Arabidopsis thaliana: one gene and its partner. The protein of the gene in region 2 interacts with the protein of the main gene of each other region in a pairwise test. Each region holds a gene or a part of one and is shown on either strand. Other genes may lie near its edges.

Region 1 (7,897 bases), on a different chromosome or scaffold from region 2:
GCTTGACTCGCCTCACGTTGTCCCTGTTATTGGTTTCTCTCATGATCGAAAACGACGACGTTTGCTTCTTGTTTACAAGCTTATGGACAATGGTAATCTCCAAGACGCCTTGCTTCACCGGAGATGCCCTGAGCTTATGGATTGGAATCGGAGGTTTTTGGTTGCCGTTAACATTGCCGATGGGATTAAGCATCTTCATAGTCTTGAACCACCTGTGATTCATGGTGATATTAAGCCTAGCAATGTTCTATTAGATAGTCTCTTCTCTGCCAAAATCGCTGATTTTGGTTTGGCTAGGTTGAAAGCAGAGCAAGTGGAGATTAGTGTAGCTCCGGAGCGTGATGGTGATGGATCTATGGTTGAAGAAGTAGAGAGTGTGGTAACTACTGTGACTGGTTATGAAGATTTTAACTTTGGGTTGGTTGATCAGTCTCCGGAGAGTGTTGCTAAGGTTCCTGGGTCTGTGAGTGCTTCTCCTGAGGCGACGACGGTTGTCTCTGTTTCTCCGGAAATGGGAGAGAAAACGGATGAGGATGGTGGTAGTGTTGTGGTGATGAAGAAGGGGAAAGAGAGTGAGAGCAAAGATTGGTGGTGGAAGCAGGAGAGCAATGTTGAAAGAGGGAGAGTGAAAGAGTATGTAATGCAATGGATTGGTTCAGAGGTAAAGAAGGAGAGACCAAGCAGAAGTGATTGGATTGAGGCGGCAGCTTTGTCTTCTTCGTCAAGTAAGAAACTTGAGAAGAAGACTAGCAAGAGACTAGATTGGTGGTTGTCATTGGAGGAAGAGGATGAGAATAAGAAGAAGAAGAAGCGGAGGATGGTTAGAGAGTGGTGGAAAGATGAGTATCGTAGAGAACTCGCTAAGAAAAGGAAGAAGAAGAAGAAGATGACTTTAGAAGCCGAGTTTTGTAGTGATGATGGGAGTAGTAGTGTGAGTCAATGGCGGCGTGGTAGTGGTAGTGGTAGCAGCATAGATTGGTGGTTAGATGGGTTAAGTGGTGAACGATGGTTGAGAGCAAGGGGAAATAGCCATGACTCGGTGAGCGGTGAGATAGCTAAGAGCTGCGGAATTAGTAGCACGCCGAGCATGAGAGGGACTGTGTGCTATGCAGCTCCTGAGTACTGTAACTTGGACAACAACGTGTCAGAGAAATGTGATGTCTATAGCTACGGTGTTCTGTTGTTAGTTCTGATTTCCGGGAGGCGCCCGTTGGAGATGACGGGCTCCGCGAGTGAGATACAACGGGCAAACCTCATGTCTTGGGCGAGGAAGTTGGCGAGAAGAGGAAAACTTGTTGATCTTGTGGATCAAAAGTTGCAAAACTTAGACCAAGAACAAGCAGTGTTGTGCATAAAGGTGGCTTTGTTGTGTCTGCAAAGATTACCGATTTCACGACCGTCAATGAAAGAGGTCTTGGGAATGCTTAAAGGAGAAGTGAATCTACCAGAGTTGCCTAGTGAGTTCTCACCATCGCCACCATTAAAGACAACGAGGAAGCAGCGCCGTTGACTAATTTAGGAATCATTTTGATTATTATTATTCAAGTGTTACACCGCTAGTTTTAGGAACTTTGATTCAATTTCACTATACTTTCCAATTTCTCTTTCTATAGTTTCACACGCATTATTGACATTGATTTTTTTTTTACACGTTTATACTTCGATGTCAATATGTCATACAACACTTCTTCAAATCGGAGTTGCTCGGGATTGGATTATTAGCAGAAAGAAAAGGCTAAAACTTTTTCCACCTCCAAAAGTCATTTAAAGGTCACACAAATCCTATGGGCCTAATCAGTTAACAAACCACTTCCAATCGAGTTAAATGAAATGAAGATACCAAATTGGGTCACGTTAGGAGTCAGCAGTTTGTGTTCTTTATATATGGACATGGGCCATCTTCGATTTTTCTTATTCGTTTCTACTTAAAATCACCAAGATTTATTGAATTTTTCTTCTTATTATTATTTGGCCCTTATATAGAGTATGGTCTATCCATAATTTGGCCCAGTTTTTTAAAAATACTAGATATTTGGAACATGCATGCTTTTTATTTTTAAATGTATCAGATTCAGATGAAACTCAATTATTAAAAAAAAAATCATACATAAACAGTTTAAAATATTTACTACTACTTAATTATTTTCGGATTAAGAAATCCCTTATAACATTTCATAAAACATAGTATTCTGCATTTTTTCAAAAAGTTGTTGTAATGTTTAGAAAACAAATTGAAAATGCAACAGTTTTTAATGAATAAATGCAAGGCGTTATAGAATGTTGGTTTGTTTTTCATTTTAAGTGTTTTTCAATATTTTAAATAATAACAACAACAAAAATCATTTGCTTTCGACTAGAAACAATGACTTATATCATTGCTTATACGAGTGCATGTTACAATCGTATGTGGCGGTTAGTCATCCTACTTGGCTCGATCGATGGTGTATTTGCTGAGGAAAGGGCTTTGTGTTCTGATTAAATTTGAGTTTTGATGGTAGTATGGCTTGAGTAAAGGTTGAGGATGTTGTTTCATTTTCATATGTCTGGCTCTTTCACCTCTTTGGTGGGTATGTGTTGTATCAAACAATCGTCTCTTAATACAATACCAGTTGACAAAAAAAGAGCAGTAACTAATTCTTATAAACTATAGTACATTATTTCCTATATATTTTATAACATAAAATAAATCATATTTTCTCATAATTTAAAGTGCTATTCAATGATTTTTAGGAATACGATCCAGCATATGGCCTTGCAGTCTATAGTATATATAAAAATAATTATATGGTACCTATGTCAGAGATATCTAGGATATATAGTAGATCGTCGTACAATTGATATATCATATAGTATGTGTATACAATAAGAAAATAAACATATAAATTGTACGATCTCTAAAGAATACTTTAAAAATGATAAATATTAAGATATGGAATGTTGAAGGGAACCTATTAAAAAGAGAAGAAATTAATGATGAAGCAGAAAGACGTCATTGCTTACCCTAACAAACCTCTCTCTCCATCTTTTTCCGATACGTCTACCAATAACTTAGTATTTTTTTCTCTTAGTTTTTAATATTATAACCAAACCCTTTTACTATCTTTTTTCCGACTCCCATATCTTTTTTTTTTCCGACTCCCATATTATTCAACTTTACAACAAATCCCTGACTAGAGCAAATCCCAGAGCACAAGATCAGATCCTTCTGTCTCATCATCATCATCATTATTATAATCATAATTACAAGAAGAATCGTTGTTCAAAATAATTAACGTATAACGACTTCTAGATGAATAATTTTCAGGAGAAGAAAAGAAGGCGTAGTAAAACGCCGAGAGTTTGTAATAACGAAGAAAACATGGAGAAGTTAGTACATAAAGAAATTGAGAAACGAAGGAGACAAGAAATGGCTTCTCTCTACGCGTCTCTCCGCTCTCTTCTCCCTTTAGAGTTCATCCAGGTCAAAACCCTAATTACTCTTGCTTTTAATTTCTTCCTCTTCTTCTTCTTTTTTTTTTGTTAAGGAAAAAGTCCACAAGTATGCTTTGTCGCTTAGTTTGTTAAAAAGATTCACTAGAACTCTAACACTCTATCATCACAATATCTCAAGTTGACCTCTACACCTTAATTACGTTTGATTTGGTTTTGTAGGGAAAACGTTCAACGTCAGATCAGGTGAAAGGGGCAGTGAATTACATAGACTATTTGCAAAGGAATATCAAAGACATAAATTCCAAGAGAGATGACCTCGTGTTATTGTCTGGACGAAGCTTTAGGAGTAGTAATGAACAAGAATGGAATGAGATTTCGAATCATGTCGTGATTCGTCCGTGTTTGGTCGGCATAGAGATAGTGTTGAGCATTCTCCAAACGCCATTCTCAAGCGTTCTGCAAGTGCTTCGTGAACACGGTCTCTATGTTCTTGGCTACATCTGTTCCAGTGTAAATGATAGACTCATTCATACTCTACAGGCTGAGGTACAATATCTCGAGCTTACTAACTTTACAGCAATCGAAGCATTACTAACTTTACTAAGAATATAGAGAAATACTTAATCATAACATATATTTCTAACTAACTTTACTAAGAATATAGAGAAATACTTAATCATAACATATATTTCTAACTTTGTTAATGTTTTCGATCTTGTCGGCTTACAAACGCGTTTATGTCCTAATTTGGAATGGAATATAGAATATAGCATACATCTTCTTCATAGCTTTTTGGAATGGCTTATTGTATCAGAGTAATGAATATATATGTTTGAGTTAATATGTGAAGTTGATTTGCCTTATGTTGAGTTAATATGTGAAGTTGATTTGCCTTATGTTGCAGGTCAACGATCTGGCTTTGATCGACTTAGCAGACCTTAAGGATACACTTACCCTGATGAAGTAATTCAAATAATCAAACGTTTTTTTTCAGTAGATTCCTTTTAACTTCTCAAACCAAAACGATGTATATATATGGTTCTTAGTACTTTTACTGTGTATTTATCTAGCTACTTTAAAGAATTTGTGCGTAAGAAACTAATGCTAGCTAGCTTTAATATCACAACCATCTCTTACATATTATATAAACTATGGTCCATCTAAACTTTTTCTTTATCATTGATGTTTTGACTATCTTGTTTATTCACAGAAAAAAATCTTCATTTTGAAAATTTGATTAAATATCTTATGAAAACAAATTATCTTTCAAGAAAATATATTAGTTTACTCTATCTTTTGTTCATTAGGGACAATGACTATTATTTTGAGGATTACCGCATGAGGCCTTCTTATTTCTAGACGTCTCTGCTCCTATATATAAGTCATATAACATTCTTATCTGAAGATGTACGTAATCTGTCGAGTTAGGATATAATTAAGAGAATGGTGGAATTTAATTCGTACACATAGAATTAATGGTATAATTAATTTACTATTGTTGGTGTGAGTAGCATCAAATAGATGATAGAATAGTATTTTGAACAAAAATTCTGATAGATAGTATAAGCCTTCAAACTAAAATTGTTTCCGGACGAATACACGAAAAGAAAAATGAAATAATATTAACTTTCTAAAAACTCATCGATTGATGGGTATACACAAAATGGTTAAAAAGAAAAAAAAATGATTAACAGATTTTGAGATTATATAATACTGAAAATTTGAGTCGGAAATTGATTTGCAATATGCAAAAGACAAGAAACATGAGGCAAAGGAAAAACCATTTTTCAGAGAAATCTAAACATGTGAAATTCGTTTTTCTAAAAGTAACAATTTGCGAATTTATCAGCGACGGATATTTTTTAAAAATAATATGTAATGTTTCTGTTAGAAAGTACTTTTGGTTGACAAAAAGAACTGTTACAAACTTACTTTGTTGTGTACGCACTGTTACAAAATTATCAAATTTGAATCTTGAAAATGGTTAATTAGGGTTGTGTGATACGCACTCCAGATCTGTAATCACAAATTAGCTAATGACTATAAAGTCGATGCAAAAAGTAAAACATAGGGAATGTATATTATATGCCGCTTAGTTGAAAACCGCTACATATCTATGATCGATTTAAATATTTGAACTCTGGAACTGTTGACTTTTCTCTTAGACTTAAATTTTGGTAAACAATTTCAGCAACTAAAATGAGTGAGAAAACTTGGTTGTTGAAAAAAAAAGAGAGAGTGAGAAAACTTTGGTTTAGTTTTCTACAGTGACCAGCTTTGGGGTTTTGGGCGGAATTAATTAGCCAAGTAGGGTCTAGAAAATGTGATCTTTTAACACATGGCCAAAGTCGTTTATATTTGGTGATTCTGTTTAAAACTCACAATTTGTTTTTTTCTTTTCTTAAATTTTGAAATCATATCTATTTAGAACTAAAGTTCATCATAAATTTTGATGACCCTAATAAATAATATAGCGTCAATATAGAGAACTTAGCTGGAGATATATTGTAAATATGTTGTTGTAACGATCTATTACGAATAACTATTGAAATACAATACAATTATTTAAAAGAGCAATATATAATTGTATAATTTACCACATCATTAGGATACTTCGCCCCAAACACATATTTTAATTCGTTTGAACGAACTTAAATAAAAAAAATAAAAAAAATCATTGGTTAAAACTTTTTATTGCAGAAATAATTGGTTGTTACTGTAGAAATAGCGGCTTCTATTCGCAACCGTCAGATATACAAGTCTAAAGAGATGTCTTTAGTTTAGTCGTGACTCCTACAAGGCATGTGTGTACGATCGCCTGATAGGGAATAATTTAACTTTGCATAATCCATATTTTCCGACAATCATCGAGTTGACATGATTCGACATTTGGTCATACACGTAAATATAACAACGTGCTTCTAATTTTAATTTTATAAGATTAAAACTATCAGATAGTACTTTTTGGGATATAGGAAAAATGCATCTCATGTAATAAAACTATAGCAGAAACGTGTCTTAAAAATAATTTACATAATAAATAGTTAACTTGTTTTATCATGACTATAATATGCAAACATTATTGCGGTTGTACGCATGTAATAATATTACTGTATATAAACTGTTATATACCAGCTCTTATAACTTTAAAACTCTATCCATTTTCTTAACGTAATGTATAGTATAAGTGAATGAAATTTTTCTCTTTTTACAAATTTATCTGGTTTATAAAAGTTGCTAATATCAGGCATAATATGGCTTATGGCGTATATTGAGCATATCAGCATACAACACACATCCCTAAAGAAAAGACTTTGGTCAAACATCCAACGAGATTATCTTTTATAGTATAGTGGCTCTTAATATGCGTATATACATATATATAAAAAACAAGGGATTCGTGACAGAGAAGAAGGATTTGCTTTGCCTTGAAAGGATAACCTTTACCAAAAGGATTATTTTTTAATAATGGAAACTGTGGAGGGATGTCATGGTTTTTATATTCAAAGCATATTATATTGAAATAGTATCTTCTTAAGAACAGTATATCTTTAGCATTATATATCTGATACGCAATGGATATGGACGTTTAATAAACATGTGAAAAGACTAGTTGCAGTGTGAGCAGGTGCAAATAAAAAGAAAGGATCGGAGCCCACATGCGACCATCGCAACATCATCAACGGTTGAGATTTGAGGTTTTGTTTTCATGTATCCGAATCTTAAGACATGGTTGCACTTTCACGTCGACATTTGTCAAATAGTTATATTCTCCAGTTCCTCCTAGTTGTATGAGAATATAATTTTGTTTTAGAGAAAATGTGCATTATGGTTTTTTTTTTTTTCCAACAGTTTGCGTTTTAGATACTAATTCTGTATTTCATGGAAAGAGATGGATTCGCAATGGTATTTCACATAAAGGAAATTTTGTGTTGGATGATGGTATGACAAAAGCTGTTTGGAGGGTATAAATTATTAAGTTGACATTAATTTCAAAAATTTATAATTATGTGTTTTAATTCTCTTAATTAAATAAACTGTAGAGGATTTTATTTTGTTATGTATATATATTGACTATAAGTTGTATTCTACTAGTTTGTTACAAATCAAGCCCGAGGCTCATCCCATAAATGAAATAAAAAAAAACTGATAACTATTTCAATTTTATTTAAAAAAAAAAAAAGAGTAATTCCGTAACCTGCATTATTTGGTCCTCCTACTGTGTATCTATTTAATATTTAAATAATGGTCCTCCCTCTCACCTAAGGAGACATAGAGAACCATCTGGTTCTTTAAGGCACCATCATTCAACAAGTAAACAATAAAGGAAATTAAATTATCACAAGACAGAACCACAAAATCCTTTGGAGATCTGACACTGGTAAAGCTCAAAGTGTCAAACTATGGATCCTTATAAGAATCTTAATCCAAAAGGTTACCAGAGACAGAGACCGTTTAGCTCAGC
Region 2 (8,911 bases):
TATATATATATATAATATTTGTCTATTCTGTGTTATATATAGAATTTTGTTTCTTAATTTAGGAAATGAATCTCGAGATTAATATAGAATTCCCAACGGTAATAATACAACGTAAACTCCGTGTAGGTCCAAACTTTAAAAAAAAAAAAAAACTGCTTCCGAATCAAGCTTTGCTTCGGATTCCGAACCTAAAATAAACACATGACCGTTACACCGATCCTAATTTAAATACAACATCATCACTCTCCTCTCTCTCCCAAAAATCTCGCAAACTCTAATCTCTCTCTTTCTTCTTCAATGGCGACGAAACTCATACTCAAGAAAACGACAAAATCCATCAGCCGTCACCAACGTAACTACCTCCGCCGTCACCGGAAATCTCAGATCGGATGCTCACCGTCTCCGGCCACAACCACCGTAATCGCCACCATCAACAAATCGATCTACAGATGTCATCGAACTTTTCTCTGTTTGTTTTCTCGTCACGCAACAAAAGGATTCAAAATCCTCAAACCTCGCGAAGATTTTCAGAATTCTCCGTATTCATTGTTTCACGAAAGATCTGGTAAATCATTCGACGAGACGAAGAAGACGATCGTGTTAGATCTAGACGAAACTCTTGTTCATTCATCAATGGAGAAACCAGAAGTACCGTATGATTTCGTCGTGAATCCCAAAATCGACGGTCAGATCTTAACGTTTTTCGTGATCAAACGGCCAGGAGTCGACGAGTTTTTGAAGAAGATCGGAGAAAAGTACCAGATCGTTGTTTTCACGGCGGGATTGAGAGAGTACGCGTCGTTAGTGCTCGATAAATTGGATCCAGAGCGGCGCGTGATATCGCGTAGCTTTTACAGAGACGCGTGTAGCGAAATTGATGGGAGGTTAGTGAAGGATTTAGGGTTTGTGATGAGAGATTTGAGGCGCGTGGTGATTGTTGATGATAATCCGAACTCGTACGCGCTTCAACCGGAGAATGCGTTTCCGATTAAACCGTTTTCTGATGATTTGGAAGATGTTGAGTTGAAGAAACTTGGTGAGTTTTTGTATGGTGATTGTGTCAAGTTTGAAGATATGAGAGTTGCTTTGAAGGAGTTTGTTGGAAGAGATGAATGATTTTTGGTTAATTTCGGTTTAGTTGATTTTACTTGTATTAAGAGGATTTGATTAAGTAGACAATGATGAACAATAGCTTTGTTTGTTCGATCTGTCTTTGTGTAAAACATCCTCGTGATAAGCAATTTGTTAATTTGTTTGATTAGTGTTTTTCTTTGTGATTGAATCAATGGGTTTTTAATGAAGATTTTGAATTTGAACAGTGGACTGAGTTTGACAAGATCGAGAACTTTTTGTGTGGGTAGAGTTAAATTATGGGCCTTTATTGGGCTTTTTGTTCAATGGTGTGTTTACATATCAAAACTTTTAAGTTGTTTTTGTTTACTAATAAGCCATATTATGAAACAGTAGTTTTGAATAATTACAAAGAAAACAAAAAAAGATCAATCAATATATTTTAAATATTTTTTTGGATCACTTTAGAAGCGGAATGTCAAAGCTTTATCATTGCAATACAAAAGTTATGGATAAGAGGTTACATGAAATTGACTTTTGAAGGAGACTGCAAAAATCTAGTCAATAGCTTGAATGGAGGCAGCTCAAGATTTGATTTGGTTAACTGGACCTATGAAAGAAGAGCATGGGAGAGAATATTTGAGCAATTGACAATTGGACACTAGGAGCAACAAATCAAACCTGCAGACATTTTAGCGAAGAAACAACAAACAGAAGTTTCAGACTTCATATCTCATTTTCATATTCCTTCTTGTATATCCAATGAGTTGCACTCAGATTACATTGATCCAAGTTAATGAAAGTTGATTTTTTTTTTTAAACTACAGTAAATTCTCTAGAAATTCCATTAATATATAATTACTAAATTATGGAGAGATTTTACTAATTTTTTTAATTTCTTACAAAATTATATCTGAAAGCAGGTTTCAATATAATCAATATTTTTCTAAAACCAATTATAAAAAGAAAATTAATTATGAAGTTTAGAAAACAATACAAACTTTTTGATATAGTAAAAATTTTAAAAATGAATTGTACCAAAAAATAATCCAAATATAAGAAAAATGAACAACATTAGAGTCATAATTTCATTAAAATATTTTATATATAATTATAGTAATCTATATATGACATATATATATAAATAAATTACTATCATATATATATATATTGATAAGTTTATACAATTATTAATTTATGATAAATGATAAGGCTATATTTTAACATAACATTTTCAAAAATTTATTATCTTATTGTTTTATCGATTTGTGTCAATTCTACATTGGTTCCAACTTGCATCGGAAGAATTTTTTAATTTATATAGATTATTAATTTATCGAGTATTAATTTATAGAAATTTTACTATACCATGATTTGAGGACAACAATGTTTATTTTTAATATCCATTTAAAGTTTTAATTATTATAATACTTGGCTTTTGGGACATATTCTTAGAGATCTTTAAGATATGTATATTGTAAAATCTTAACATATGTTGAAAGCTCAATTATATAATATTACTATATGTCAAATTATTTTGAGACTACATAATGCATATCTAATAATTGTGTTTACAATAATCCTATATAAATAGAGGTTGATGAGCAAGCGACTAAGTTGCAATCACATTTCGTTTGGATCATCTATCACCAACTTTCAAACTTTCAATTTTTTTTATAGTTTCCTAGTTTTTGGAAAAATGGTTTTACTTTTTGTAAGAAACTTGTACAACAAAACATAAATATAACTACACATATTAGACGAAGTTATTGCGTATATTAAAAATTTATAAAAGACTTGATTGGATTTTATTGTTTGCAGAAAGAGGAGCTTCAATTTAAGGTTGGATCTATTGACGAAGGGACTAGATATGACGCATTACGATGTATCGCTAATTGTGAAGGTACACCAACTCAACCAAATATGTAGTTGTATTGAGCTAAAATAAACCATTCGTTAGAGATATAGGGATTTTATGTAGATCATTTTATTAGGCTTAATATTTTAGTCATTTACTTATTTGGTAAATAACAAGAATATACATTCATTCATTGTTGATTGAAAAAACTTGGACATGATAAATTGGTATGTGACTTCCAATATTTTATAATGTATATTTTGTAGATGGATGGATAGAATAATAACCAACACATTAAAATGGCAATATATAACACATTTTCACTAAAAATGTTTTGCCATAAACTGCAAGTTCTCTAAATTAAACAATGTTTACAAATGTTTTTATTTTGTTTTGTTTTGTTAGGAGTTGCTTTTGTTGATTTTGATGAGGAAGAGGCCACAATAATTGTGAAGAGAGAAAAACTCGATGAATGTAAAATTAAGAAAAAATTAGATAAATTTTTGAATGAATCTAAAGGAGGATGTTTCTCTTGTTTTAGTCGCTAATAATTTTTGGAGAAGAAGTGAAGTGAACTGGTAATGGAAATCAACTTTCAAAATAAAATGAAGTTAAAAGAAATTACAAATAGATTCTCATTTGTATTTCTCCCTATTATAATCTACAACATCATATTTTTCTTAATTTGATCAATCTTCATAAGTCAAAATGATCAACAACATTACAAATTTATTATGTTTTTTTTGGGTCAAATTATATGAAATTATATTTGGTAAATTAAAAAGAAAAGAAAAAGAGAGTTGATTGATAATAATAAACCACCAAACCCGTCTTTTAGACACAACAGTTGTTGTTGCCATTCATACGCGCTTCCATCAACCCTTTGGTCTTGGAAGCCAAATCAAACCTTTCCTTCAATCCTCAAATTTTCGAAAATTTTCTCTTTTGCTTTACGTTCTCTCAATTCTTATTTGTAAGAAAGTTTGTTCCTTTAATCAATCAAATCAAAGAGACTTTTGAAGATTGTTTCCCAATTTGCGTCAATCGGGATCGAGTCAAATCTGAAATCTTCTCCACTCATCATCTGGTACGTTTGATGATTCCAAATCAGAAACATTAAAGGACAAGAAATGTTCGAATTTTTGATTGATTCTCTCTGATTTTCAATCATTTGGTTGTAGAAGCAAAAGGGTTTGGTTCATTCATTCTCTCGTGTTGCCCTTATTTCGGATTCGGATAGATTTGGAGCTAAATTAGGGGTTTTGACTTTTTTAGTTTCTCCCATTCAATAAATTTCGAAGCTTGTGAGGGAAAAGTCTTGGTTTTTATTGTCATTTATTACTTTGCTTCTTAAAGCTTGAGAGATCGATTCGTATATTGATTCAAACACTTGACAGTTGTGTCTTAAACTGGAATTGTTGCAATTAAATGTTTATGTTTTCAATGAGTCTCTCTAGTTGAGTTTGATTTCAGCTTCTTGTTCTATCCAACAGACTATAAGACTTAATCAAGGGACTTTTTGTTCGGGTTTGGTTTTAAACGTCTTGGATTCGAAGTGGTTAAGGTATGGATGAAAATAATGGAGGTTCAAGCTCACTTCCACCTTTCCTTACTAAAACATATGAAATGGTTGATGATTCTTCTTCTGACTCGGTCGTTGCTTGGAGCGAAAACAACAAAAGCTTCATCGTCAAGAATCCAGCAGAGTTTTCAAGAGACCTTCTTCCGAGATTCTTCAAGCATAAGAATTTCTCAAGTTTCATCCGTCAGCTTAATACATATGTAAAGCTTTTGTCTTTGTATCTCATCTCTTTGGGGATTGGTGTTTGCTGCATCGCTAAGATTAACAACCTTTTTGTGTTTTTGTTTGCGTAGGGTTTTCGAAAAGTAGATCCTGAGAAATGGGAATTCTTGAATGATGATTTTGTTAGAGGTCGACCTTACCTTATGAAGAACATTCATAGACGAAAACCGGTTCATAGCCACTCGTTAGTGAATCTACAAGCGCAAAATCCTTTGACGGAATCAGAAAGACGGAGCATGGAGGATCAGATAGAAAGACTGAAAAATGAGAAAGAAGGCCTTCTTGCGGAGTTACAGAACCAAGAGCAAGAACGGAAAGAGTTTGAGCTGCAAGTAACGACATTGAAAGATCGGTTACAACATATGGAACAACATCAGAAATCAATAGTGGCATATGTTTCACAGGTTTTGGGAAAACCAGGACTTTCACTAAACCTCGAAAACCATGAGAGAAGAAAAAGAAGATTTCAAGAGAACTCTCTTCCTCCAAGCAGTTCACACATAGAACAGGTCGAAAAGTTAGAATCTTCGCTAACGTTTTGGGAGAATCTTGTATCGGAATCATGCGAGAAGAGCGGTTTGCAGTCATCAAGCATGGATCATGATGCAGCTGAGTCAAGTCTAAGTATTGGCGATACACGACCCAAATCATCGAAGATTGATATGAACTCAGAGCCGCCCGTTACCGTTACTGCGCCTGCTCCAAAAACAGGCGTTAACGATGACTTTTGGGAACAATGTTTGACAGAGAACCCTGGATCAACCGAGCAACAAGAAGTTCAGTCAGAGAGAAGAGATGTCGGTAATGATAATAATGGTAATAAGATTGGAAATCAAAGGACGTATTGGTGGAATTCAGGGAATGTAAATAACATTACAGAGAAAGCTTCTTGACATGAATGAGGTTTTTGTAAAATAGTTTTCTTTTGGTTCCACTGAGATTATTGTATGTGTTCATTATTTATTACTCTGTTTCTGTAAAAACAAATCTCTCTATTGTTTGAGGCAGGAGTGACATAAATGCATATGCAGAATTGGTTTCTTTGCCTTCATATTTCAGTTATATAATTTACAGAGTCAGTTTTGTTTGTAGCAAACATATGAACAAAGAGAGAGTTACAGAGTTTAGGAAAAGAAACAACAAAATTCTAAAAAGAATTAAAAAAGCTCCGATGCCGGGAATCGAACCCGGGTCTCCTGGGTGAAAGCCAGATATCCTAACCGCTGGACGACATCGGATTTGATGTTCATAGAACTCTTATTAACTATATACTCAATGATGGACCAAACAAACCAACGAAGGAGATCAATGAAACAATTGGTTTTGAGTTATCTGACAACTATTTCATCAAAAATAATACAAAATGCAAGAAATTTTGTCATGCCCTAATAAAAAATAAAAACTCATAATTATTTAGCTAAATAAAGATTTCTTGATCAAAGATTCAAGAAAATTTCTATAGCTACAAAGATTACATTATGATCTAAGAAAAGAAGTAAAGCAAAATAAGAAGAAGAAACAAAACTATCTAGGAGGAGATCTCGTTGATAGACATTTCCCACAAGAGACAAGCTTCAACAACGAATGTAATCGTAACTTCCTTGTTCTCACCTTCAATCTCGATAGCTACAATTTCAAAGTTTCAATTTTTCAATCACAAAGACAACAAACAGAGTCATATATATAAAGAATAGAGAGAAATTGAATGTGTTTACCTTGCGACGAGTGCTTCTTGATGCTTTCCAACATATCAAGCTTCTTGATCTTGGTTCAAGTTTCCTGCAAAAACCAACGAATTATCAAACAAAACTGTAAAAAAAAATTTTAGGAACAAGTTTTGGTTAATCTTGTTCTTACAAATTCTCTTGTTCAAGCTTATTTGCAATCTCCACAGCTTTGTGTTTCGACCAACTGTTTCCTTCAGCTTGTTTAATCACTTGAGCCAACGAAACTTTTCCTCTCACAATGCTCTGGTTCTGATTTTGGTTTTGGTTTTGACTTGCTTCCAAGTGTTTCCTTCTAACTCGAGTCATTGGAGATTCAGAGTCAGCCACTTCAACGATTTCGCTTCTTCCGCTTTCACGGAATCTCTCACCGTTGCTTAAACCTTGTAATGACGAGAAACCGAGGTCTTTCTTCGACTCGGTTCTCATCTCTAACGTGACTGGAGATCCAAGAACAGCCTCAAACGCTTTCAAAATGTGTTCTTCGAAATTCTCAGCCGTTGATTTCGCTATTGGCGAATTAAACATTAACTGCACCATAGGAGCTGCGAAAACTACGAAGTTAGAAAAGCTTTGTTTTCAATATGAACAATGTTCTACTACGTTTATGCATTTACCTGAGCCGATACTAATCGAAAAGATCTTCCCTTCTTTATAAAGAAACTCTCGTAAGCCGTTAACTCGAACATTCTCGATAACCGCTAACCAAATATCTTCAACGGAAGGTCGGTTTTTGCAGCTGAAACCTTGCTTACTATCATCTCTTCTTGTTCCGGCTACAACATGGTTCGAAGGATCCGAATCCGTCAATGGAGTATGGTTAAAGCTAGCATCAGCAGAAGAACTATGCGGAAGCAAGTACTGTTTATCAGGAGCTAGCTGTAGCAATGCAGCAGTGAGCCAAGTTAGTTTATCGTTCGATACTCTCAACTGTTTTTCTGATTCAGATAGTGTTTTCAAAGCTTGTTTCAGCTTCTCCATATCTTCTTTAGACACTGGAACAACGGAAAAGAAAAATCGGTTATTACAGTTACAAATACTTCTCATTTTGGATGATGGAAATGTTTGAAAAGCTCACGTGGTTGTCGCCGGAAAAACTTTCTTTTACATTGATCTTTAGTGAAGTCATAGCTTCCCGCGAGGATATCGGTTATGACGGTTGCGAGCTGTGACATCAAAGCTAATGGTTCTAGGCCGGTTTCCATTATTATTCTTAGGTTCTTTACGGTGTTTACAGTATCCGCGGATAAGGCTAGATCAAGAAGATCAACTAATTTCTCATCAGATATTAACCCAACCTGAAAAGAAAACAAGAACATAATGAGAACAATGCCAATGGAAAATATAGAAATGTTTTTGATCATTACCATTTCTTGAACTAAAGGAACAGAGATTCTTGTTCCAAGCAAACTCAGCTGTTCTAGAGTCATTTCCGCGTCTCTCAAGGAACCATCTGATCTCGAAGCAACAAGCTTCAACGCATCTTTATCGATATCAATCTCTTCTTTTGATGCAATAAGTTGCAAAGAATCGATGATATCTACGTCTTTGAGCTTAGGGAAAAAGAATTTCTGGCACCTCGAAACGATAATGTGAGGCAAAACATCAAGACTCGAACATACAAGAACGAAAACCACACGACGAGGTGCTCGGTCCACTATTTTCGATAGCGTATTCCAACAATCTGTTGACATAGTATCGCAATCATCGAATATTAACACAAGCTGCTGCTTTTGCTGCTGACGAATGTTCGTTTTATCGAGCAAATTCTCAAAGTCGAAACTTTTTACAGGACCCATTTCTCGAATGTACCGGTTCTTACCATCATCATAAGAAACACAAGAACTGCATACACCGCAAGGCTTTGATTGTTCCGTAGAATGGCAGTTCAAAGCTCTAGCAAATACCCGAGCACAAGATGTTTTTCCGGTTCCATTTGGACCGTGGAATACGTAAAGAAGTCCAACTCTTCGTTTAGCTATAGCGTTAGACAGAGCCTGCACCACAAGATTCTGTCCCAAAAGATCCCGGAATGTTCTTGGAGCGTACTTCTGCGTAAAACTTTGATGCCACCGAGTATTTTTACGGCTACTCTTCTTACCAATGACTGAATCTTTTCCATTCTTGAGCAAATTGTCAGCGAATATACCCAACTCGCCTGAGTAATCATGCACCCATTCTTCATTGTCTGCGCTATCGACTAAAAGAGGTAACGCCTCGCGATCAGAAGAGCTTGAATCAGAAAACATCGGCGTACCAGCTTCGCCTTTCCTTCCCTTTGAATCAGATATTCCACAAGATAAACTCCTACCAGCTATATCAAGAAAAGTTTTGCCTCTATGATGAATTCTTGACCAATTAAACGGTATTCCACAACTCATGTTCTGTTCTCTATCTCTTCCTCCTCCTCCTTCTTCTCCCTCATACTTCTCACCACGAGGCACTGAGTTAGAA

Evidence for each region.
Region 1: the proteins of RHA1 (region 2) and AT4G25400 interact in a two-hybrid assay, tested with the Arabidopsis thaliana proteins (one large-scale study listed by BioGRID).

What each region holds. Positions count from the first base shown.
Region 1 is NC_003075.7:12,977,937-12,985,833, forward strand, and holds AT4G25400 (basic helix-loop-helix (bHLH) DNA-binding superfamily protein), read left to right. Parts: upstream 1-3,100; 5' UTR 3,101-3,289; coding exon 3,290-3,460; intron 3,461-3,651; coding exon 3,652-4,044; 3' UTR 4,045-4,300; downstream 4,301-7,897. Other genes in the region: AT4G25390 (Protein kinase superfamily protein), read left to right, coding at 1-1,510; AT4G25410 (basic helix-loop-helix (bHLH) DNA-binding superfamily protein), read left to right, coding at 7,836-7,897.
Region 2 is NC_003076.8:18,537,081-18,545,991, forward strand, and holds RHA1 (winged-helix DNA-binding transcription factor family protein), read left to right. Parts: upstream 1-3,584; 5' UTR 3,585-4,016; exon of another isoform or gene 4,017-4,422; 5' UTR 4,423-4,495; coding exon 4,496-4,711; exon of another isoform or gene 4,712-4,804; coding exon 4,805-5,626; 3' UTR 5,627-5,783; downstream 5,784-8,911. Other genes in the region: AT5G45700 (Haloacid dehalogenase-like hydrolase (HAD) superfamily protein), read left to right, coding at 298-1,116; AT5G45720 (AAA-type ATPase family protein), read right to left, coding at 6,258-6,359, 6,449-6,512, 6,591-7,002, 7,075-7,452, 7,536-7,755, 7,825-8,911. UniProt on the Arabidopsis thaliana protein: Transcriptional activator that specifically binds DNA sequence 5'-AGAAnnTTCT-3' known as heat shock promoter elements (HSE). May be involved in general response to auxin.